2 linked regions of the Macaca mulatta genome follow. The protein of the gene in region 2 binds, or shares a complex with, the protein of the main gene of each other region. Links are inferred from orthologs where the notes say so. Each region holds a gene or a part of one and is shown on either strand. Other genes may lie near its edges.

Region 1 (11,571 bases), about 110 Mb from region 2:
ACTGGTGTCCTGATAAAAGGGAAATTTGGACACAGAGACACGCTCAGAAGGAAGACAATGTGAGGAGCCACAGAGAGAAGATGGCCACCTGCAAGCTAAGGAGAGAGGCCTCAGAGGGTATCAGTACTGCCCACAGGGTGATCTGGACTTTCCACCTCCAGGGCTGTATGACAATAAATGGGCTTTGGTTTAACCCACTATATTTGTGGTAACATGTTATGGCAACAATAGAAAATGAACGCAAAGTCTGTTTTAGAGGTAGCCAGAATAGTTTGGGTTAATAGATGCTTCTGGAATTCTTTTTTTTTTTTTTTTTTTGACACGGAGTCTTGCTCTGTCGCCCAGGCTGGAGTGCAGTGGCATTATCTCTGCTCACTGTGACCTCCGCCTCCTGGGTTCAAGCAATTCTCCTGCCTCAGCTTCCTGAGTAGTTGGGATTACAGGTACATGCCACCATGCCCAGCTAAGTTTGGTATTTTTACTAGAGACTGGGTTTCACTATGTTGGCCAGGCTGGTCTTGAACTCCTGACCTCGTGATCCACCCTCCTCGGCCTCCCAAAGTGCTGGAATTACAGGTGTGAGCCACCGCGCCCAGTTGGCTTCTGGAATTCGTAAGAATAGACAGGGCATATCTGAAGCCCTGTCTAGACAATGTTTTTGTTGGTATTATGAATTGATGGTGCACAGTTACTACTAAATACACATAATCTGTGTAAAGAAGGAGAAAGTTACTATATGAGAGCTTCAGCACTCCCCTGACATGAAAAAGAGATGAGCACTTCATCCCTTTTACCTTGCTGTACTCATCCAGGCTGTATCCATTTAGTCCAGTTCCAGGTGAGGATGCTGATTTCTATCAAATAGCCTTTCTGGGATTTCTAAGACTCAAGAGAGAACATAAGATTGCATACTGTGTGTCAATAGTTCAGACTTTCAGAAAGAATGAAATTCCTCATCTGCATTTCCTCCTTTCTATCAAGAATCCCATCGTAGTTACCATGTTTATTATACCATTAAGGAGGAGGAGGGGGTCGGCCCGAGTGCACAAAATCAACAGTCACACTAGGAGCTGGTATTGTCAGCTATTCCCCTTGTTTTTTCATACTAACTTATTTTCTCTCCACATTTTTGTCTTGTAGATTCAGAAATCCCTGCGCCAACTAGAACCCTTTGAAACTAACCCTGACTATCATCAACAAGGAATGTGGCTGCTTCCATAGCATATTTGAAGTACAGAACTCAAGAAAATGCTTCCTACTGATGGAGTTTCCTGCAGAGTGGGCCGGAGAAGTGGGGTGCCAGATGGAAGGGCATATTGGATGGAGAGAGAAGGCATTCTTTCTAACAGTGGGAAACCCTAGTGCACACTGGCTTTGCAAGAGTCTTTGGAGGACAGAGCTCACCATTGCTTTGTGCACTTTTTACCCCCGACCTAGAAGGAGTGCCTGTTCCTGTAAGACCCCCTCTCTGCGCTTACAGTGAGTTTGTGAAAGTTCAGATGGTTTCAGCCTTGCTGCTGCCCAGACTAAGGAGAAATGCCAATTGATAAATTGGACAAGCGATAGCATGTTGTTGGCTGATAGGAGTGCTCCTAGAGATGATGCAACATGACCAACCATGTAGGACCCCCAAATCTCAAAGAACTTTAACAAGAGGACACAAGGCCCATTATTGCCCCAGCTGTACATACAAAACCATGGGCAGAGAGAATGAGGAGACAGAGAACACACACTGATTTACCGAATGCGTGAGGCCTTGACAGACCAGTTCCTTGGGAGGAATGTTTATATCTCACACTTTCTTCAGTTTGCAGAGGAAATCTCTCCTCTTGGGAAGTTTTCAGGGGACATTTTTCTATGGGTCTTGGTCCTTCTGGGGGTTTTAACAACATAGAACACAATGATTGGAGATCGAGAAAATGAACTGTTCGGCTGATCATCTAAAAAGAGCTTTTACATGTAATATAGAGGCTGTTCTCAAGCCTTGCCAGGGGTGGGTGGGTCCGCATTTAGGCAGCCCTGCATTCTGTGCTTCGTGTGAGTGTGCATTTGTTTGCTCAGACACATAGAACCAGGTGGCATCCTGTGCTATGTCTGGGTGGTTTGGGGGCTCAAAGCCCCTGAGAATCTAAAGGCAAAAGCCCTTATGACTGGAAAAGTGAGGTCGCAGACATATGCCCAAAACCTATGAGCCTCTTGGATGCACTCAGAGAACTGGCCAAGCCTGTGCCATGCTCCGCAGAGAGGCCTGGGCAGAGTCATGAGGCAGAAAGGGCTGCTTTGCAGGTGCTCCTGGGGAGGTCGCTGCAGGTGCTCCTGGGGAGGTCGCAGCAGCTGCTGGTAATCCATCATCCGCCCATCATCAGCCCCATTAGCCCTAAGGACACCTGGAGAGTCCCAAGGCTGCCCCTCTCGAGTGAGAGACAGCTCCAGGAAGATCGAACATGTCCAAATCCTCACAGGCAGTTAAACGGTTGAGCAGCATCTGGTCTGGCCAGGTCAGACCCCACATCGTTTACACCAGGGGTGAGCCTGGGTGGACTTCACAGGTGGATGGTCCTAGGGTCCTTCCACATGTCTGACCAGCCAACCAGACCCGATGAGCAGAGAGCAGCAGGCCTTCTGTGTAAAAACCACTGTCCAATAAAAAAACCAATCCAGACTTAGTAAGCAGAGATCTTTATGCAAAAGGATATCGCAACAGGAGACACCAGAATACTGCAATAGGGAGAAAGCATTGACCTTAAGGTCTGCAAGCTCTCAAAGGTGACGCAGAGGAGTTTTCTCATATAGGGAGGAATGAATGCGGCTGGAAAGAACCAGGTCTGGGGAAGTGGGGTGAAGGGTGGCTGAGGGGACAAGAGATTGAGGATACTTTACCCTGAGCCTGGCCTGCTCCAGGAGGGGCCAAACATCAGGGCCCTGGGGGAGGGGAGAAGCTGAACCAAGGCTGGGCAAACAAGCACCTTGTGTGGATTGACCCATGGGGACAAGGGGTTCAGGTAGTAATTGATAAGACAAAGATGGCAATGTAGTGGGTGCTATAGTTTGAATAAGGTATTTGTCTCATTAATTCTCATGTTGAAATTTAATCTCCAGTGTTAGAGGTGCAACCTGGTGGGAGGTGCTTAGGTCCTGGGGGCAGATCCTTCATGAATAGACTCCTGCCCTCCCTCGTGGGGAGTGGAGTTCTTGCTCTATTAGTTCCTGCCAAAGCTGGTTGTTAAAAAGAGCCCAGTACCTCCTCCTCTCTCTTTCCCTGTGACCTCTGCACACAGGGGCTCCCCTTCATCTTCCATCATGAGTGGAGGATTCCTGAGGGCCGCATCAGAAGCAGATGCTGGAGCCTTGCTTCTTATAGAGCCTGCAGAACCATAAGCTAAAAAATGTTTTGATAAATAACCCAGCCTCTGGTATTCCTTTACAGCAATGCAAAACAGACCAAGACAGTGGGCCTGTCATGCATCAACAAGGGGCGCTGTAGGGGAGGCAGAATTCTACCTCCCTTATCTTAGGGTCCAGGCTGGGCCCAAGAATTAGACTGACATTAGAGAGATGAGCAGGAGAAAAACATACAGTTATTTAATACAAATTTAATGTGACACAGGAGCCCTCATAAGGAAATGAAGATGCAAAGATGCAGTTAGGATCACTTATATACAGAGGTGGACAAACACTAGTAAGTTGTGAGATTTGATAAGGCCACGGGGCTTGGGTGAGGATAGTCAATGGGGTGAAGAAATGACTAGGTCAAAATGCTTACACACTAGGTTGAACAAAGAGTAGTAACTGTGGCAACAACTAGGAAGATAAGGGTTAGTTTAATAAAGTTTGTTTGTATAGATTTCTCTTGGCTTCTGTCTTAGTCTGTTTCGTGTTGTTAAAGGAATACCTGAGACTGGATGATTTATTGGAAAAAAAAAAAAAAGGTATTGGCTTATGGTTTCCCAGGCTGTACAAGAAGCACGGTGGCTGGGTGCAGTGGCTCACGCCTGTAATCCCAGCTACTCGGGAGGCTGAGGCAGGAGAGTTGCTTGAACTTCCCGGGAGGCGGACGTTGTAGTGGGCTGAGATCACACCACTGCACTCCAGCCTGGGCAACAGGGTGAGACTCAGGTCAAAAAAACAAAAAAAGCACGGTGGCCCAGCATGGTGGCTCAAGCCTGTAATCCTAGCACTTTGGGAGGCCAAGGTCGGGGGATCAGTTGAACTCAGGAATTCAAGACCAGCTTGGTCAACATAATGACAGCCCATCTCTCCAAAAAATTTAAAAATTAGCTGGATGTGGTCCCAGCTACTTGGGAGGCTGAGGTAGGAGGGGCCTGGGCAACAGAGCAAGACTGAAAAAAGAAAGAGAGGAGGGGAGGGGAGGGAAGAAGATAAAAAGAAAGGAAAGGAAGGAAGGAAGAAAGGGAGCGAAGAAGGGAGGGAGGGAGAGAGAAAGGAAGGGAGGGAGGGAGAATGGAAGGAAGCAAGTATAGGGCCCACCTCTGCTTCTGGTGAGGGCCTCTGGCTGCTTCTGCTCATGGTGGAAGGTGAAGGGGAACCCATGTGTGTGCAGAGGTCACAGGACTGCACAAGAGAGGAAGCCAGAAAGAGAGGGGAGGGGAGTGCCAGGCTCTTTTCAACAACCAGCTCTTCAGGGAACCAACAGAGTGAGAACTCACCCTAAAGGAGGGCAGGACTCTATTCAGAGGGTGACACCTCCAGGACCCACACACCTCCCACTGAGCCCCGGCTCCAACTTTAGGGATCAAATTTCAGCTTCAGAGTTGGAGGAGATTTGGAAGCTTCCACCTTCTGGTCCTTGATGATAAGAACGTTCCCTTCCTTTTACTATAAGGAGAACATCTTTCATAGGGGAATTCTATTTCTTGCCTTTAAGAAACAACAAGAAATTCAGAATGATCTTCCTACACCTGCCTCTTTTTTTTTTTTTTTTTTTTTTTAAGTGCCTTTATCTCAAAAGAGTTAATATGCCAGAAAGGCATATCTTTACCTTCTTCAGCATCCTAAGGCTCATCTGAGCCATACAGCAAAGGGAGTTCTTTGCAGGTCATAAAAAGTGGAAGACTCCTTTAACTCTGGTTGGATCCCAGAGCTGTATCACTGTGTAAAAGTGGAATGCCGGCTGGGCGCGGTGGCTCACGCCTGTAATCCCAGCATTTTGGGAGGCTGAGGCAGGTGGATCACGAGGTCAGGAGATCGAGATCATCCTGGCTAACATGGTGAAACCCTGTCTCTACTAAAAATACAAAACAAAATTAGCCGGGTGTGGTGGTGGGCGCCTGTAGTCCCAGCTATTTGGGAGGCTGAGGCAGGAGAATTGCCTGAACCCTGGAGGCGGAGCTTGCAGTGAGCCGGGATTGCGCCACTGCACTCCAGCCTGGGTAACAGAGCGAGACTCCGTCTCAAAAAAAAAAAAAAAAAGTGGAATGCCAGCTGGGCCTGGTGGCTCATGCCTGTAATCCCAGCACTTTGGGAGGCCGAGGCAGGTGGATCACCTGAGGTCAGGAGTTTGAGACCAGCCTGGCCAATATGGTGAAAACCCATCTCTTTGTGGTGGATACCTGTAATCCCTGTAATCCCAGTTACTTGGTAGGCTGAGGCAGAAGAATCGCTTGAACCTGGGAGGTAGAGGTTGCAGTGAGCAGAGATCGCGCCATTGCACTCCAGCCTGGGCAACAAGAGTTAAACTCCATCTCAAAAAATTTTTTTAAAATTAATTTTTAAAAAAAGTGGAATGCCGCATGCTGGCTTTCGGAAGGCTCTTCCCACCCAAGTCATGAGGAAGGGAGAAGAGGATTGCTGAGGAGACACGAGGAAGCTTGTGCTGGAGAGAGATGATCTCCACCGCCGTGGCCTACCCGCATCAACCCTTCACAATGCTGGTGCTAGCTCTGGTGGCCACGACCAACAAGCACTAATATAAGGGAGAGGCGGCCGAGTGGCGTGCCCTGTGGACCAATCAGAGAGTAGGGGGCCATCACGCCACCTGAGGCCAGCCAATGAAAACGCGGCAAGCTCTATAAAAGCGGGCAATCAGCTTAGGTCTGGTCAGAGGACACAGCAGAGACAACAGTTTCAAATTCATGGCCCGAACCAAGCAGACTGCGCGCAAGTCGACGGGTGGCAAGGCGCCACGCAAGCAGCTGGCCACTAAGGTGGCTCGCAAGAGCGCACCCGCCACTGGCGGCGTGAAGAAGCCGCACCGCTACCGACCTGGCACAGTGGCGCTTCGCGAGATCCGCCGCTACCAGAAGTCCACTGAGCTGCTAATCCGCAAGCTGCCCTTCCAGCGGCTGGTGCGCGAGATCGCTCAGGACTTTAAGACCGACCTGCGCTTCCAGAGCTCGGCCGTGATGGCGCTGCAGGAGGCGTGCGAGTCTTACCTGGTTGGGCTGTTCGAGGACACCAACCTGTGTGCCATCCACGCCAAACGGGTCACCATCATGCCCAAGGACATCCAGCTGGCACGCCGTATCCGTGGGGAGCGGGCCTAGGAGGGCCATCTCGCCACCTGAGAGGTTGCGCAACGTTCACCCCAAAGGCTCTTTTAAGAGCCACCCACCTGGTCGGAAGAGTTGCTGTAGCAAGCCAGGCTCTTGGGTTTTGGGGGTTCCTTCCGCTGGCCGGTGCTGGCTTACCTAATTCTGATTAGGGTGGGAGGCTGGCGAATCCTGTGTTCACCCTGTCCAGTTAGGAGGCCAGCTACTCATGCGCGTTACCTCCCAGCCTGTCTCCAGTTACAAGTCCAGCTAGTCGTGTGTGGTGCTAACTTGGTCTATCCCTTTAGATAAGAATCATGGTTGGTCTGTTTGGGGACGGGGTGTTGAGGGTAGCGTAACTGGCCTATCTGCAGTTAGGTAAGCAACCCCAGCTAGTTGTGTCAACTCAGCCTATCTACAGTTAGGTTGGAAGGCTGGCTGGTCTTGTGTGTTCTCAGCTCAGCCTCTTTCAAACTGTTACAAGTCCTGCGTGTGTGTGTGTGTGTGTACACACAGCTTCTTTCCAGTGAGGTTACCAGTCCAGCTAGTCTCCTACCTAGACAGCCTGTTAAGGCCAGCAAGTAGTATGTGTTATCTTGGCCTATTTTCAGTTAGAAGTCCAGCTACTTCACCAGCGTGGCAGCTCAGGTCTGTAATCCCAGCACTTTGGGAGGCCAAGGCGGGTGGATCACCTGAGGTCAGGAGTTCCAGACCTGCCTGGCCAACATGGTGAAACCCCATCTCTACTAAAAAGACAAAAATTAGCCAGGTGTGGTGGCACATGCCCGTAATCCCAGCTACTTGGGAGGCTGAGGCAGGAGAACTGCTTGAACCCAGGAGACAGATGTTGCAGTGAGCCAAGATCATGCCACTGCACTCCAGCATGGGCAACAGAGCGAGACTCAGTCTCAAAACCAAAAAAAAAAAAAAAAAAAAAAACAAAGTCCAGCTACTTGTGTGTGTTAACTCAGCCTACCTCCTGTTAATTTAGAAAGCTGGCTAGTTGTATATCTTGTTAACTTGGGCTATCTCCCATTAGGTTAGAAGGCTGGCTAGGGGTGTGTGTGTGTGTATGTGCGCACGTGCACGTGTGCCCATGTGCACACACATATGTAGCTGTGATGTTGGCCCATCTCCAGTTAGAAGTCCACGTCATTGTATGTGTTAACATACCCAATCTCCCATTCAGTTAAAAGGCTGGCTAGTCATGTATGTTGTTAATTCACCCTATCTTCTGTTAGGGTAGATGACTAGCTAGTTGCGTGTGAGAAGCGCAGCCAGGCATGTGCATTGTTAATTCAGCCTAAGTGAAATCAATACTGGGAAACCCCAGCCTAAAGTTCAAAGAGGGCACTCTGCCCTGGAAGTCAGCTTACTGAGCAGTCGCAGACAGGGGTGGCCCATGTGCCCGGCACTTTGAAACAGGCTTCCCAGTGCCACAAAGTAGTCTGGCAGTGCTCTGGGGATGAGAGACACAGAGACCAACTTGCTGAGAAATCCTACAGCTAGGGCAGCAGGCCACAGATCCAATAGTAGACTTATGTCGGGAAAACCTGAGGATGGCTGTGAGGATAAGGATGTAGGGATTGTCTCCCTCTGGTACAGGTTGGAATCATTTATTTGTTAAAGGCTTTATTAAACTGAATGAAGCCAAGCACTACCCCATGCTGGGATCATGGAGGGAATAAAATCCATTTCCTGTGGGAATAAAATCCAATCCCAGAATGGGCTGCTGCCCACTCTGCTTTCAAGGTGCTTATGCTTGAGTGAAGGGGGCCTGTATTGTGTGTAGAAGCAATGATAGTAAAAGATGCTCTTAAACATAGCAAGGGGTGTGCGCAAAACGCTATCAATAGGCAACAGTGGATTTTATAAGTCTCTTTGAATCCAATTTATAGCCTGTAGACTCAAAATTCAAAAGCTTCATCAATTTATTAGTACACACACAACTGAACATCATACCTTTTAAATCTCAGGATATATTTAAACTTATGAGTGCCAAATCCTTGGAGAGCTATCCAGAAAGCCTAGAATATTCAGGGAGAGCTGTGTTCTGGTTTTGAAAGTCAGTTCTGACTTTCAATACTAGACTCTTTTGGGATAAATTTAAGTTTTCCCTTTTTGTTTTTTTTTGTTTGTTTGTTTGTTTGTTTGTTTTGAGACGGAGTCTTGCTCTGTCGCCCAGGCTGGAGTACAGTGGCCGGATCTCAGCTCACTGCAAGCTCCGCCTCCCGGGTTTACGCCATTCTCCTGCCTCAGCCTCCCGAGTAGCTGGGACTACAGGCGCCCGCCACCTCGCCCGGCTAGTTTTTTGTATTTTTTAGTAGAGACGGGGTTTCACCGTGTTAGCCAGGATGGTCTCGATCTCCTGACCTCGTGATCCGCCCGTCTCGGCCTCCCAAAGTGCTGGGATTACAGGCTTGAGCCACCGCGCCTGGCCCCTTTTTGTTTTGTTTTTTCAGAGACAGGGTCTTGCCATGCTGCCCAGGTTGAAGTGCAGTGGCTATTCACAGACATGAGCATAGTGGCCAGCCTCGAACTCCTGGGCTCAAGCCATCTTCCTGCCTTAGCCTCCCAAGCAGATAAAGTTCAAGTCTTCTATACTTTACAAAGCCCTTGTCCTGATAAAGTCTTGCCCAGTGGTGGAAAGCTAAACCTATGTAACCTTGCTGATGATCTTGCTGGGCAGCCTGGAAGGAGCAGTAATTTGGGCAGCTAGCTACATTTACGTAACTGGATGCAGATAATGCATTCTTGACAGGATCATGATCAAGCTTTGCCTTCTGTAGGACACCAAGCCACTTGAGCAGCCCCCTGTCATTCTGGTCTTTGTATGAGAACAGAGCCTAAGTTTGGCAGTGTGGCACATGCCTGTAATCCTAGCTACTGGGGAGGCAAGAGGATAACTTGAGCCCAGGAGTTTTTGAGGCCAATCTGGGCAACAGACCCTGTCAAAAACAACAACAACAAAACAAAACAAAGAACAAAACAAAAAAACAACAACAAAAAACAAGAGCTTGGTCTTATATGTTCCTTGTTTTCACTGTTTAATGGAGTGGATAGTGCACGAATTGATGCCCTATAAAGATATAACAAGGCAACACAGGGCAATTTGTACATCAGAACTGACTGCTGAGGACCTAAGGTGAGGAGCTAAGGAAAGAAGTTTAGACACAGGAAGAAAGTAACCGAAGTCTTTCTGGGTTGTGTAAGCGGGTATTTGAGGAAGCCTTTCCAGCCAGGCATGGTGGTTCATGCATGTAATTCCAGCTTTTTGGGAGGCTGAGATGGGAGGATTTCTTGAGGCCAAGGAGTTCAAGACCAGCCTGGACAACATGGCAAGACTCTGTCTCTATAAAAAATATAAAAATTAGCTGGGCATGATGGCATGTGCCTGTGGTCCTAACTACTTAGAAGGCTGAGGTGGGAGGATCGCTTGAGCCCAAGAGTTCCAAGTTACAGTGAGCAGTAAGCAGTGATCACACCACTGCACTCCATTCTGGGCAACAAAGCCAGACCCTTACAATTACAATCAACACCTTTGCTTCTGTATCCTGCGAGTCCTAATGATGTGGGATAGTAACTGAAATGTGGTATCTGTTCACCATGTACTCAACTCTTCAAGAGCATATACACTATGGAGACAGCCTGAGCATGCAGTCTATAAAAGTGGAATGAGTGGTTCTAAATATCCAAAGGTTAAAATTCCAGAAATAAACAACAGAAAGGAGAGTTAGGCATTAAGAGATAGTGCCGCAGACCTTGGTGGACTGAACAAAGGAGGACAAATGTGGGAATAAAGACAAAGACAAAAGAGTATATTTGGATAAAGGGGTCAGGGGGCTCCTTGCTTCTAGTGAACAAGGGTCCTGAGCTGCTAGAGCCCTTCATATTTATTGAGTAAAGGAGATAGGGAGAAGGGGGTGGTTGTGGTCAGCTGCTTGACTTAGTGCAGGCCTGCATGACTACATTCTTTGAACAGTAGGCTCCAGATGTCCCAGAAGATAACCTCAAGGGGCACAGAGCCAGGGAATGAGGCCCTCAGTGTACCTTCTGGCAGCAGACACAGATGCGAGTTTGCCCACATCCTGCATTCATGATAAACAGTTTGCTGTTTAATCATATAGCTTCTAGTGGAGTGCTGAGTTGGTCACGACCCTCAGATTTTCGGCTCCCAACAAGATAGCAGAATATACCTCCCCAAAATATGCAGATTTGATATAAGAATTATTTTGAGCTGAAGGCACTTGAAGAGCAGTAGGTGTAAGAAGGGCCCTCTGGCCCCTCTTCCTGAAAGCAGGTGATGAACCCTCCATGGGAAAGGTGCTTGCCTCTACCAGGGGGAGAAACAGCATGACTAGGCATGGGGACTGAAGTGCAGTGAAATGTGTACAAACAGGCTTTGTTAAAATAGCTCTTATCACCGGGTAGAGTGGCTTACGCCTGTAATCCCAGCACTTTGGGAGGCCAAGGCAGGCAGATCACCTGAGGTTAGGAGTTCCAGACCAGCCTGGCCAACATGAAACCCCATATCTACTTTAAAAAAAAAAAAAAAAATTCAGCTGGGTGTGGTGGTGTGCACCTGTAGTCCCAGCTACTTGGGAGGCTGAGGCAGAAGAATTGCTTGAACCCAGGAGGTGGAGGTTACAGTGAGCCACGATCACACCACTGCACTCCAGGCTGGGTGACAGAGTGAGACTCTGCCTCAAACAAACAAACAAACAAAAATAGCTCTTACCTTCCTCCAGCCTCCCTGGGTATTCCAGTTGCTTTCTCATAATTACTACCCTTTATCCATCCAGTGGATAAGCACTTAGGCCTAACTGCTCTTGAGGTCTTCATTTTGCTGTGAAGGCTCCCATGTACATGTAAAAGTAAAACGTATATGCTTTCTCCCATTAATCTGTCTTCTTTCATTTTAGTCTATGCAGGCTGCTATAACAAAATGCTATGGGCTTGGTGGTTAATAAGTGACAGGACTTTATTGTTCACAGATCTGGTGGCTGGCAAGTCCAAGGTCAAGGTGCCAACAGATTCAGCTTCTGGTGAGATCCTGCTTTCTGGTTCACAGACAGGGCCTTCT
Region 2 (11,475 bases):
AAGTGACCATATTTTTCTTTTTTTTTTTTTTATTTTTTTTGTGAGATGGAGTCTCACTCTGTTGCCCAGGCTAGAGTACAATGGCGCGATCTCAGCTCACCACAACCTCTGCCTCCTGAGTAGAATGGCAAGCAATTCTCCTGCCTCAGCCTCCTGAGTAGCTGGGATTACAGGCACCCGCCAACATGCCCGGCTAATTTTTGTATTTTTAGTAGAGATGAGGTTTCACCATGTTGGCCAGGCTGGTCTCGAACTCCTGACCTCAGGTGATCCACCCCCTCGGCCTCCCAAAGTGCTGGGATTACAGGCGTGAGCCACCGCACCCAGCTGAAAGTGACCATATTTTTCTTTTTTTTCTTTTTTTTTTTTTTTTGAGACGGAGTCTCGCTCTGTCACCTAGGCTGGAGTGCAGTGGCCGGATCTCAGCTCACTGCAAGCTCCGCCTCCCGGGTTCACGCCATTCTCCTGCCTCAGCCTCCCGAGTAGCTGGGACTACAGGCGCCTGCCACCTCGCCCGGCTAAGTTTTTGTATTTTTAGTAGAGACGGGGTTTCACTGTGTTAGCCAGGATGGTCTCAATCTCCTGACCTCGTGATCCGCCCGTCTCGGCCTCCCAAAGTGCTGGGATTACAGGCTTGAGCCACCGCGCCCGGCCTGTGACCATATTTTTCAAAGATACACACTGAAGTAGGGAAGAAATGACAAGGTATCTGGGATGTGCTTTAAAATACTCCAGCAGAGAGGCAGATTAATGGGCACAAATATATAGTTTGATAGAAAAAATAAGACCTAGTGTTTGACAAATCAGTAGGGTGACTAGTTTACAATAGTCTATTGTACATTTCAAAATAGTTAGAATTATTTGAATGTTTCTAGCATAAAGACAAATATTTAAGGTGATACATTTCCCAATTACACTGATTTAATCTTCACAAATTAATGTATTAAAATATCACATGTACCCCAAAAATATGTACATTATAAACTAATAAAGATAATATAATTTTAATATAAATACTTCGGCAAATTGAAAATAGGACAAACAAAGCAAATATGGAAAGATCCTGACACCTGTTAGAATACTTATGGGTTCGGCCGGGCGCAGTGGCTCACACCTGTAATTCCAGCACTTTGGGAAGCTGAGGTGGGTAGATCATGAGGTCAGGAGTTCAAGACCAGCCTGGCCAAGATAGTGAAACCCCGTCTCTACTAAAAATACAAAAATTAGCCGGGCGTGGTGGCAGGCGCCTGTAATCCCAGCTACTTAGGAGGCTGAGGCAAAGAATTGCTTGAAGCCGGGAGGTGAAGGCTGCAGTGAGCCCAGATCATGCCACTGCACTCGAGCCTGGGCGACAGAGCAAAACTCCATCTCAAAAAAAAAAATTTATTTGTGGGTTCACTGTATTATTTGCTCTGCATCTTTCTTTTTTAAGATATTGTGTCATTCTGCCACCCAGGCTGTAGTGCAATGGTACAGTCATGGCTCATTGCAGCCTCAACCTCTCGGGCTCAAGCGATTCTTGCACCTCAGCCTCCCAAAGTGCTGGGACCACAGGTGCACGGCACCCTGCGTGGCCTCCCTCTGAATCTTTGTGTGTGCATTTATTATTTATTTTTTTGAGACAAAGTTTCACTCTTTCACCCAGACTAGAGAGCAGTGGTGTGATCTCACCTCACTGCAACCTCCGCCCCGGGGTTCAAGCACTTCTGCCTCAGCCTCCCAAGCAGCTGGGATTATAGGCACCCGCCACCACACCCAGCTAATTTTTCTATTTTGGACAAGCTGATCTTGAACTCCTGACCTCATGTGATCCACCCATGTCGGCCTCCCAAAGTGCTAGGATTACAGGCATGCACCACCACACCCGGCCCTTTGTGTGTGCATTTAAAAGAATGAATTATGAAAGCTTTCAATTTCCAAACCCATACGGTGCATATGGTGGGGACCCTTCTGCTGCTCCCTACACTGTAACTAGGAGGTCAAACTGCTTCACAGAGCAACAAGGCAGACCCTCCAGGTTCTGGCTCTTGATATCCTCCAAAAGCACCACCTGAGGCCCTCTCTAGCCCTATACACCTGAGACAAACTAAACCACTGCAGATCCCCAAGTGCTTTGATGCTGGCATGAGCTATCATGAGCATTTAGAACATCCTACTCTCCCAGATTCTCTCTTCGATTTCCTTCTATCCACCTGGCATTCTTCTAACCTCAGGCCTAAACTGTTTCCTTCTCTCGGGCAGTCCTGAAATCCACACTGCAACCCCAAGCTGAACTGCTAACTCTCCCACTTGTACCACAACACGTATCATTAGTACTGGAATGATTTGCTCTTATCTATCTCTCCTAGACTATGAGTTCCTTGAAGGCACAGTCCTGGCCTAGAGCAGGCATGCTGTAAATGATTACAAAGTAGTGAAGAGGCAGGGCAGCCAAAACAGTTTTAGAGACTTTTAAGTAGTTCAGACAAACAAGCTAGCACATGTTGGAGGTGGAGGGATGGATGGCAATGCAGCAGAGAGGGTATTAGGGTATTATCATCAGGCTAGACCTGAGAAGTATATACAGAAATAAAAAGGAACCAAGAAGACACTCAAGGGTTTTTGAGCAGAGGACTGAAAAAGAGAGACATGTCAGAGAGAAGACCCCTTCCCCCAGCATACTTCCACATGGAAAGAGTCCTGGCTTTTCTTCTCCCCACCCCCTTAAAAGCTGTGATTCACTTCAATAGGATCTGTCTTTTGGAGAGGGAGTGCATTCTGGCCTATGTCCACACCACATGGAAGCTGAGTGCTTCCATGGAAATGCTTTGCCTCTAGAGGGGCCTGGAGACATCAAGAGTAAATGAGTAGTCCAGGCGCGATGGCTCACACCTGTAATCTCAGCACTTTGGGAGGCTGAGGCGGGCACTCAGGAGTTACAGACCAGCCTGGCCAACATGGTGAAATCTCTACTAAAAAAATACAAAAATTAACCAGGAGTGGTGATGCATGCCCGTAATCCCAGCTACTGGGGAGGCTGGGGCAGGAGAATCACCTGAACCCGGGAGGCGGAGCTTGCAGTGAGCCAAGATTGCACCACTGCACTCCAGCCTGGGCAACAGAGCGAGACTCAGTCTCAAAAAAAAAAAAAAAAGAGTAAATGGGTAGCAGGGCCATTTGGCCACAGGTTAAAAGTCACTTTCTTCAATCATTTTAACTTGTAAGTAAAGCAACATTCTGAGCTCCATATGCCTGACTCTTGTATCATCAATTAAATAGTTCCAAATTTGAGAGGAAAAAGGACAAGTGTTATTTATTGGCTTCCTGCACCTCCACCCCAAAAAAATCCCACAAAAACTTGACTCTGTAATAAGATTAATTAACCAGTAATACAAAGACTAAACAATGCATATAAAGTATTTAATAGCTGGGGGCGGTGGGGCACACAGTGGCTCACACTTGAAATCATGGCACTTTGGGAGATCAAGGGAGGAGGATCACTTGAGCCCAGGAGTTCGAGACCAGTCTGGGCAACACAGTGAAACCCCATCTCTACAAAAAATACAAAAATACAAAGATAAGCCGAGAAAATACAAAGATTAGCTGAGAGTGGTGGTGCACCTGTAGTCCCAGCTATTTGGGAGGCTGAGGTGGGAAGGATGGGTTGAACCCAGGGGACAGAGGTTGCAGTGAGCCAAGACTGTGCCACTGCACTCTACCCTGGGCAACAGAGCAAGACCCTGTCTCAAAAAAGAAAAACAAAGTATTTAATATACAGTGAGCTCTTGCTACTTCTTAGCTGCTTTTTGTGATTGTGATTGCAACTAGAAACAAGAATGTCAGGAAGACTCAGCAAGAGGACAGCATGAACTGTAGTGAACAGTAGGATGGACGAAATGGCTCGGCGCCTCTGTGAAGGAAGAATTGCTAGGTGGCAACTGGAAGTTTAAGAGACTCTGGTTTCCAGGCTGAAAAAGCCCTCATTTATGGAAGCTGCCATAAGAAGGCATAGAGAACTGCAATCAGAGGCAATGAGAAGGAAACACAGTAGTTATTAGCTCATTAGCCTGCAACCACAGTGGGATGGAAAGAGGAACATTCACAAGGTAAAAAGGAAGTCTACAAAAACCGTACCCTGAGATTCAGAGAAGGCACCGAGAAAAGTTACGAGTATTAACAACAAGGAGATAAACATACCATAAAAAGGGACTATTGGCAACACTAGGGAAATGTGAATATGACTGAGTGTCAAGTACTGCAGCCAAAGAAAACAGAAAGCAAATGTGCCAAATGCTAATCATATATATGATGAGTACACGCGGGGGCTCGTGATGGTATTCTGTACATACTTCAGAAATTTTCCATAGTGAAGATTTTTAAGAGCTAAATTTTTAAAAACTAAAGGTAAGGGGATAGGGAATAAAGAGGACCTTCTGCACTGGCTTCTTATATCTGCCACCCCTCATCAAAAGCTGCAAGCTTGACCCACATAAGCTGTAAGTCTGGGGAGTCAGGGAAGGTCCCTTGGGTAGTGTGGGTCCAGCTGCATCTGACATGACTCTGATCACCCATAGTGGCAGACCCACGAAGAGCCATTTTACACAAAAGCAGGAATCAGCTTTTGGTGACAACACATATTTATGGAGGAAGCCTGAACACACACGTTCATATTTATAGCTTTGGGAATGCATCTTGGTCTCCAAAAGGATGTTCTATCAGTGTCATACTGGGAGTCTACAGAGCAGTCAAGACTTGTAAGAAAAAAACCCTTGAATTTCAAGGTAAGAAAGGCCATCTCATCTCATCTCATCCCAAACCCCCAAACATGTGGGCTCCAATGGCAGCTATTCTAACCCCTGTGCCGCTAAGGCAATGAGGGTCAGAGGAAGAGTTCCCACCCACCCCAACTGAAAAGGCCAGCCACGGTGGCTCATGCCTGTAATTCCAGCACTTTGGGAGACTGAGGTGGGCGGATCACTTGAGGTCAGGAGTTTGAGACCTGCCTGGCCAACATGGTGAAACCCTGTCTCTACTAAAAATACAAAAACTAGCTGGGCGTGGTGGCACACGCCTGTAATACCAGCTACTCGGGAGGCTGAGGCAGGAGAACTGCTTGAACCTGGAAGGCAGAGGTTGCAGTGAGCCAACATCACGCCACTGCACTCCAGCCTACGCAACAGAGCAAGACTCTATCTCAAGAAAAAAAAAAAAAGGCATTGTGATCCAAGTGGGCTGAGGAGGATCTGCTGCTGTGACTGAGGCTGCATTGATGCAATTCTTGGAATCAGAAGCCACAGGGATAAGAGAAAAGCAACTCCCAGCAAAGAACAAGCTGGGAGAGTGAATGCCACCCAGGCTTTTGTTGGACACAACCACTGCAGGCTGGAGGCACTGACTGAGGGTTTCTCCTGCCCTCCTGCAGCACCTCCACCACACAGACCCACCTCCCCAACACAGATCCCCTCCCCGACAGGGTGTCCTTCAGGGCAGCTCCCCAGCCCACACCACTGCCTGGAGCCCATACCTCTGCCAGCTCCCGCTCACTGATACTTCTGGCGGCGCTCCCTTTCTTCCTCATGCATGGCTCTCCCACAGTGACCCTGCCATCCCCTTTGGCATAACTGTGCACAGTGAGAACTCCCGTTTGCCCTTGGGCTCGGCAGGAGAGAGGCTCACTAGTTTCTGAATCAGAAGAGACAGAATCCCGTGAAGAGCCAGAGCCCAGGCTAGATGACTTCTTTTGGGAGCCTGAGAAGACAAGGCGTCCCCCTACAGACGCAGGATTCACAGAAAGATCCAAGGCTGCTGCTTCTTGTTCTTCCTCCTCATCCTCCTCTTCTAGTTTGACATTTTTGAGCTCTTCAAATTTGACTTCAGTGGAGTCAGAATAATCTGAAACACACATACACGTTAGACAGAGCCAAGTTCCACCTGCACACGTGAATCTGATGAAAGCCAGAGTGGCAAAGCACAAGGAACATGGGCTAGGAATGGGACCTGGCTTCCCATCCTGGCTCTGTCACTGAGGGACACTGTGAGCCAGGGCTATCTGCTCAGCCTCCTGGCCTCCAGCTTCTTCCTCTGTAGTGAGAAGATGCTACTACATATCTGCAGGGCTCATAAATAAGACTCCTGAGCACCACCTGGCACTCAGCAGACACTCAGTAAGGGGCAGCTGCCATTTCCTCCGAAGTCTCCTGCAGGAAATACAAGTCTGAGCTCAGCAGAGACCTGGCTACCTAGCCCATGCTAGAAAATCTAAAGATCTTGAAAAATATTAAGAGGGTGTATGTTAAATGTTCTCACTGCAACAATGGTAACTATGTGAAGTAATATGTATTTTAATCAGCTAGATTTAACCATTCCACAACATATATCTACTTCACAAATCATGTTGGACCAGGAGAAGTGGTTCACAACTGTAATCCCAGGACTTTGGGAGGCCAAGATGGGAGGATTGCTAGAGCCCAGGAGTTCAAGACCAGCCTGGGCAACAAAGTGAGACCCTATCTCTACAAAATTTAAAAATTAGCCAGGCATGGGCCAGGCGCGGTGGCTCACGGCTGTAATCCTAGCACTTTGGGAGACCGAGGTAGGCAGATCACGATGTCAGGAGATCGACACCATCCTGGCTAACAGGGTGAAACCCCATCTCTACTAAAAATATAAAAAATCAGCCAGGCGTGATGGCCCACATCTGTAGTCCCAGCTACTCAGGAGGCTGAGGCAGGAGAATCACTTGAACCCGGGAGGCAAAGATTGCAGTGAGCCGAGATCGCCACTGCATTCCAGCCTGGGTGACAGAGTGACTACGTCTCAAAAAACAAAAAAGTAGCCAGGCATGGTGGCGTACGCCTGTAGTCCAGGCTACTTGAGAGGTTGAGGCAAGAGGATTGCTTGAGCCCGGAAAGTTGAGGCTGCAGTGAGCTGTGTTCGCACAGGCTTGTGCAACAGAGCAAGACCCTATTTCTAAAACAAAAAAATTATGTTGTGGCCGGGCGCGGTGGCTCAAGCCTGTAATCCCAGCACTTTGGGAGGCCGAGATGGGCGGATCACGAGGTCAGGAGATCGAGACCATCCTGGCTAACACGGTGAAACCCCATCTCTACTAAAAAAATACAAAAAACTAGCCGGGCGAAGTGGCGAGTGCCTGTGGTCCCAGCTACTCTGGAGGCTGAGGCAGGAGAATGGCGTAAACCCGGGAGGCGGAGCTTGCAGTGAGCTGAGATCCGGCCACTGCACTCCAGCCTGGGCGACAGAGCCAGACTCAGTCTCAAAAAAAAAAAAAAAAAAAAAAAAAAATTATGTTGTACATGACAAATATGCACCATTTTATCTGTCAATATAAATAAATTTGAAGGGAAAAAAGGGAAAGAAAATCTGCTGAATTAGAAGCCAGCCCAGCCCAGAACGTCAGTCCACAGTGCTACCTGGCTGTCAGCAGACCACATCTTAGCGTCATACCTGACCCAAGACAGATACAAGCCTTTCTCCAACAAATCTAGCCTCAATGACCTTCCAAGTGACTGCTAAACAACACTGATCACACCACTCCCACTCTTAAAATATAAGCTTCCAAGTGAGCAAATGAAAATGGCAGACAGCCCTACATCCTCTCCTATTTCTCCAGCGTCACCTTCTGGTCACACAGCTGCCTTCTACCCTAATATTCAATTGAGGGAAACTCCCCACCAGTTCCCCCAAGTGGACCATGCTATTAATATTTCCCATCTCTGCTGGGAACGGTGGCTCAAGCCTGTAATCCCACTCGGCACTTTGGGAGGCCGAGGCAGGCGGATCACCTGAAGTCAGGAGTTCAAGATCAGCCTGGCCAACATGGTGAAACTCCATCTCTACTAAAAATACAAAAAAAAATTAGCCAGGCGTGGTGGCGGGCACCTGTAGTCCTAGCTAGTTGGGAGGCTGAGGCAGGAGAATCGCTTGAACACAGGAGGCAGAAGTTGCAGTGAGCCGAGATTGCGCCACTGCACTTCAGCCCGCATGACAGAGCAAGACTCCATCTCAAAAAAAAAAAAAAAAAAAAATTCTCCCATCTCCACGCCTGTGCCCTGCTCCTCCCCTCTGGAACACCCTTTCTACATCCCTGCTCTCTCTCTGTCCGCCTGGGAAGGTCCTACTTACCTTGTAAGAGTCACCTTCACCAAAACCTCCAGTGTTTCCCTGACCCCTGACCAGACAGAGGGAGGAGCTTTTCCCTACGTGTCCAGTCCACCCTGTACATCCCTACCCAAAGCACTTCCCACACTCCAAGTACACTATCTGCTCACAGACCTGTCACTCTGCTTTCTTTCTCACCCAGCACTCAATATGGCATCTGACACGGGACACATGTATGAGTTAAGGTTGTGGAAAATACACCATAGTCAACTAACCTGGGAAGGTAAGACCATCCTCAACTTGCCGCACAGAGCTATGGGTGGGCCTCACGGGGGCGAGGGCTGCCGGGCACTCCGTCATCTCATACTGCTCAGAACTCAGCTCCTCCTTGGGGAAGAGCTCACTCTGACTCACCTCCTGTGGTATTTCAAGACAAACTCGGTGCCTCTTTGTCCCTATTCGGTGCTTGGCCAGGCTGCAAGGGAGAGGGCAAATCTTTTAAGAGCCCACAAATACATCCACTTACTCAAAGACATTCCTACACATCCACACACAACCCAAAGCGAATGGCCAGAGCCTGTCAGGCCTGGCTCAAAACTCAGGGACACCTCTTATTTGTGACTTGAGACAAGGGACTTCACCTCTCTGAGCTTGTTCCATCATCTAAAAGATACAGGTATTACCACCCACCTAACAGATTTGTTGTGAGGACTAAGAAAAGGTATGCAGAGTAGCTGGCAAAGTGCCTGGCATATAGTAGGTACCAAGGAACGGTTCCTCCTTTCTTTCCCATATGGCCCAGGATAAATTCTCAGAGCACAGATCCCCTGGCTCAGCTTCCCATTGGTGCAGACTTAAAAAGGTGACTCTTCTTAAGTCTGCTCTAATGGCACTGCAGACTTAAATCACAACATTACCAATGCCCTTGAGTCTCATCCTCACTACACTTCTTTTTAAAAGACTCTCTGATGAGAAAACATGACTTTTCCGGCTCAGGGGGAGCCCAACCTTCGCACATAAATGCCTTGACCCTCATATAAATAACCCCTTGCTCCAGCAGACTACACGCCCACTGCAGTTCTCTCATTCAGAAAGTGCCTGAATGCTCTGGCTCTCCGGCTTCTGGAGCCTTTACCAAGAACAATCCCTCAGCCGAGGCACAAACAGCATCTTAGAAACAGCCTCTCCACAGGTCACAGGACCTACCCAGACACCTCTCCCTCACACAGCCACGACAAAGGGCTGCTGGGTTACCTTGTCTTCAAGTCTCCTTCCTCTCCATCCTCCACCCCTTCCATGTCCTCCTCTGGGCACTCTTCCTCGTTGCCAGCTCTTGGAGGCAGTTCACTCTCCATAAGAAACTCAGCTGCTTCTGGCGTGGGCAGAGTATGGTCAATAACTGTGTTGTCTTTTCCAGCTTTCCAAAGTTTGTACCTTTCTGGCTGGAACTTCCTCACAAACACATCCATGGAGATCTTCACCATGTCCTTTCTACAGGAGCACTGTCAGCAGGAACCGGAAGAGCACCAGGTGAGCATACCTTGCTGCTTCCACCTCACCCCCAAGTCCTAGCTCCTCCCTCCACATGGAAACAAGTGCAAGATGGTTTATAACCAGATTGTTTTGGTTCACAGGCTGAGGGCATATTATCCTTGCAGGACCTTCAAATATGAAGGGAAGCAGGGAAAAAAGGGCAGAGAATACATACTACTGGGGCAAATCTACCTGGGCACTAACTCGGGGCCACAGACGGTGGTTAGGCTCAGCACTTAGGCCCCCAGGATGGTGAGCCACCTGCCCTTGGCTCCCTGTCCAAGCCAGGAACACACAAGCAAGTCTACTACTACGAGTCAAAGGCCTAGCCCTGCCGCTTCCCTAGAGTAAAGAAAACCCCTAGGAACTTCAACAGAGAAGTCTCAGAGTGGCTAAGGCAAGAATATTAACGTGTGTGGATGTGGTTTTAATGCCTAATGGACTTACGAACCTCATTTTATACTTCCCAAATCTGAACACATTTTTTAAAATTCCTTATGAACACAAAATGTTAGTACTCTGACACACTGCTAGCTGCTCGTTTCTGAATTCCAGCAACTCAAAGAAATATTCTAATCACCAGCCAACGTATCTAACCAGAATTTGCTCATTTTTGTCATGGTGTTATAGAAAGAAATCAAGCAGACTTACCAGCACAGCTTGCTTGCCATACTCAATCCACCGACGGGTAGCAAAATTGGTAGACTCCGCACAGTTAAAGCCATGGTTAAAGCCGGCATGGTAACCATAAGGGAAAGTGATCATAAACTCTCCGGCCTCTTGAGTCACCTGAACAAGAGCAGACTTGAAACAGCTGCTTCAAATGGCAGAGGTCCACAGAACTGGAATTCTGAGCTCCACCACAACTTAGCTGAGCAACAAAGGGTAAGTCATAAAACCCCTGGGGTCTTGCTGTCTTCTATAAAATTATGCAAAGCCCAGACATATCAGATGACATGACTATAATTAACCATGCCTCCAAATGAACACTGTTCAAGGGGATCTGACTCTCCTCTGGCACCTGGAAGCTAAAGTGGCCCCACCTTTAATGCTCTTAGATCAAAGGGTTGTTACATAGTTTAAGCTTTGGCCCCCCTCTTGTTATAGTGATGAACTAGAATAAAACTCTGTAAAAGGCCAGAAAGGGTGGTGCCTGAGAACTCTGGCATGTAACATCAGCTCACCTTATCAAAGGGAATTCCATATTTCTTCAGCATTAACGGGGAAATCAGGGTCATCTTGTGGCGGAGAAATGCCTCACAGCTTTGAGCACTTCCTGGGAAAAAGCCTATTTAATTGAAAGGGTATGGGTTAACACAGTGCTCCACACTAGCTCTGCAATCCGGAGTCACTTCACACCTGTGCTTCTCATCGGAATGATAAACAGGAAGAATCACCGATGTGACCTCCAAGGATCCCTATAGCTCCGCACCAATTCTAAGATTCTACAGTGAGCCTCTGGGCTCACTCCCATGTAGGGCATTACATGGGTAATGAAATCCTGTTTGGGAAACCAAGGTCACCCAAGCTGACTCTGTTCTTACAGAGCTTTGAAACTATTTAGGACCTTTTCTCCAGTCACTTGTATCCCTGATCTTTCTTCAGTAATGCAGCTAGAGTATGATCTACCCAGGCTTTCCTGAAGTATGTTCTCTAGACATACAAATCTATGTAAGTCCACATAAAAGAAACAAAGCATAAAATGCAATTTTTTCTTTAACATTTGGGTCTTTACTGGAAACACCGGTCATACTGGTCTGGTTCATTATCGCTGGTCAAAGAAACACCACTGCTCATTAAAACTGAGGCACAGACAATCAAAGAAGAAATGACCAAGTCCTTGCT

The links.
Region 1: the proteins of KDM4A (region 2) and H3-4 are in contact, whole or in part, in a crystal structure (PDB 2YBP), measured with the Homo sapiens proteins. The link is inferred for Macaca mulatta from reciprocal best matches to the Homo sapiens genes KDM4A and H3-4. Residues at the interface, in NP_055478.2 of Homo sapiens: Ile71, Tyr85, Asn86, Ile87, Gln88, Ala134, Asp135, Val160, Ile166, Thr167, Ile168, Glu169, Gly170, Val171, Tyr175, Tyr177, Glu190, Asp191, His240, Lys241, Met242, Ser288, Thr289, Asn290, Arg309, Asp311, Met312, Val313, Lys314, Ile315; in NP_003484.1 of Homo sapiens: Ala32, Thr33, Gly34, Gly35, Val36, Lys37, Lys38, Pro39, His40, Arg41, Tyr42.

The regions. Positions count from the first base shown.
Region 1 is NC_133406.1:86,174,079-86,185,649, reverse strand, and holds H3-4 (histone H3.1), read left to right. Parts: upstream 1-5,378; 5' UTR 5,379-6,092; coding exon 6,093-6,503; 3' UTR 6,504-7,047; downstream 7,048-11,571. UniProt on the Homo sapiens protein: Core component of nucleosome. Nucleosomes wrap and compact DNA into chromatin, limiting DNA accessibility to the cellular machineries which require DNA as a template.
Region 2 is NC_133406.1:196,988,667-197,000,141, forward strand, and holds part of KDM4A (lysine-specific demethylase 4A), read right to left. Parts: intron 10,919-11,475; coding exon 10,815-10,918; intron 10,420-10,814; coding exon 10,282-10,419; intron 9,600-10,281; coding exon 9,352-9,599; intron 8,573-9,351; coding exon 8,373-8,572; intron 5,872-8,372; coding exon 5,504-5,871; exon of another isoform or gene 5,138-5,503; intron 3,079-5,137; exon of another isoform or gene 2,437-3,078; intron 1-2,436. UniProt on the Homo sapiens protein: Histone demethylase that specifically demethylates 'Lys-9' and 'Lys-36' residues of histone H3, thereby playing a central role in histone code. Does not demethylate histone H3 'Lys-4', H3 'Lys-27' nor H4 'Lys-20'.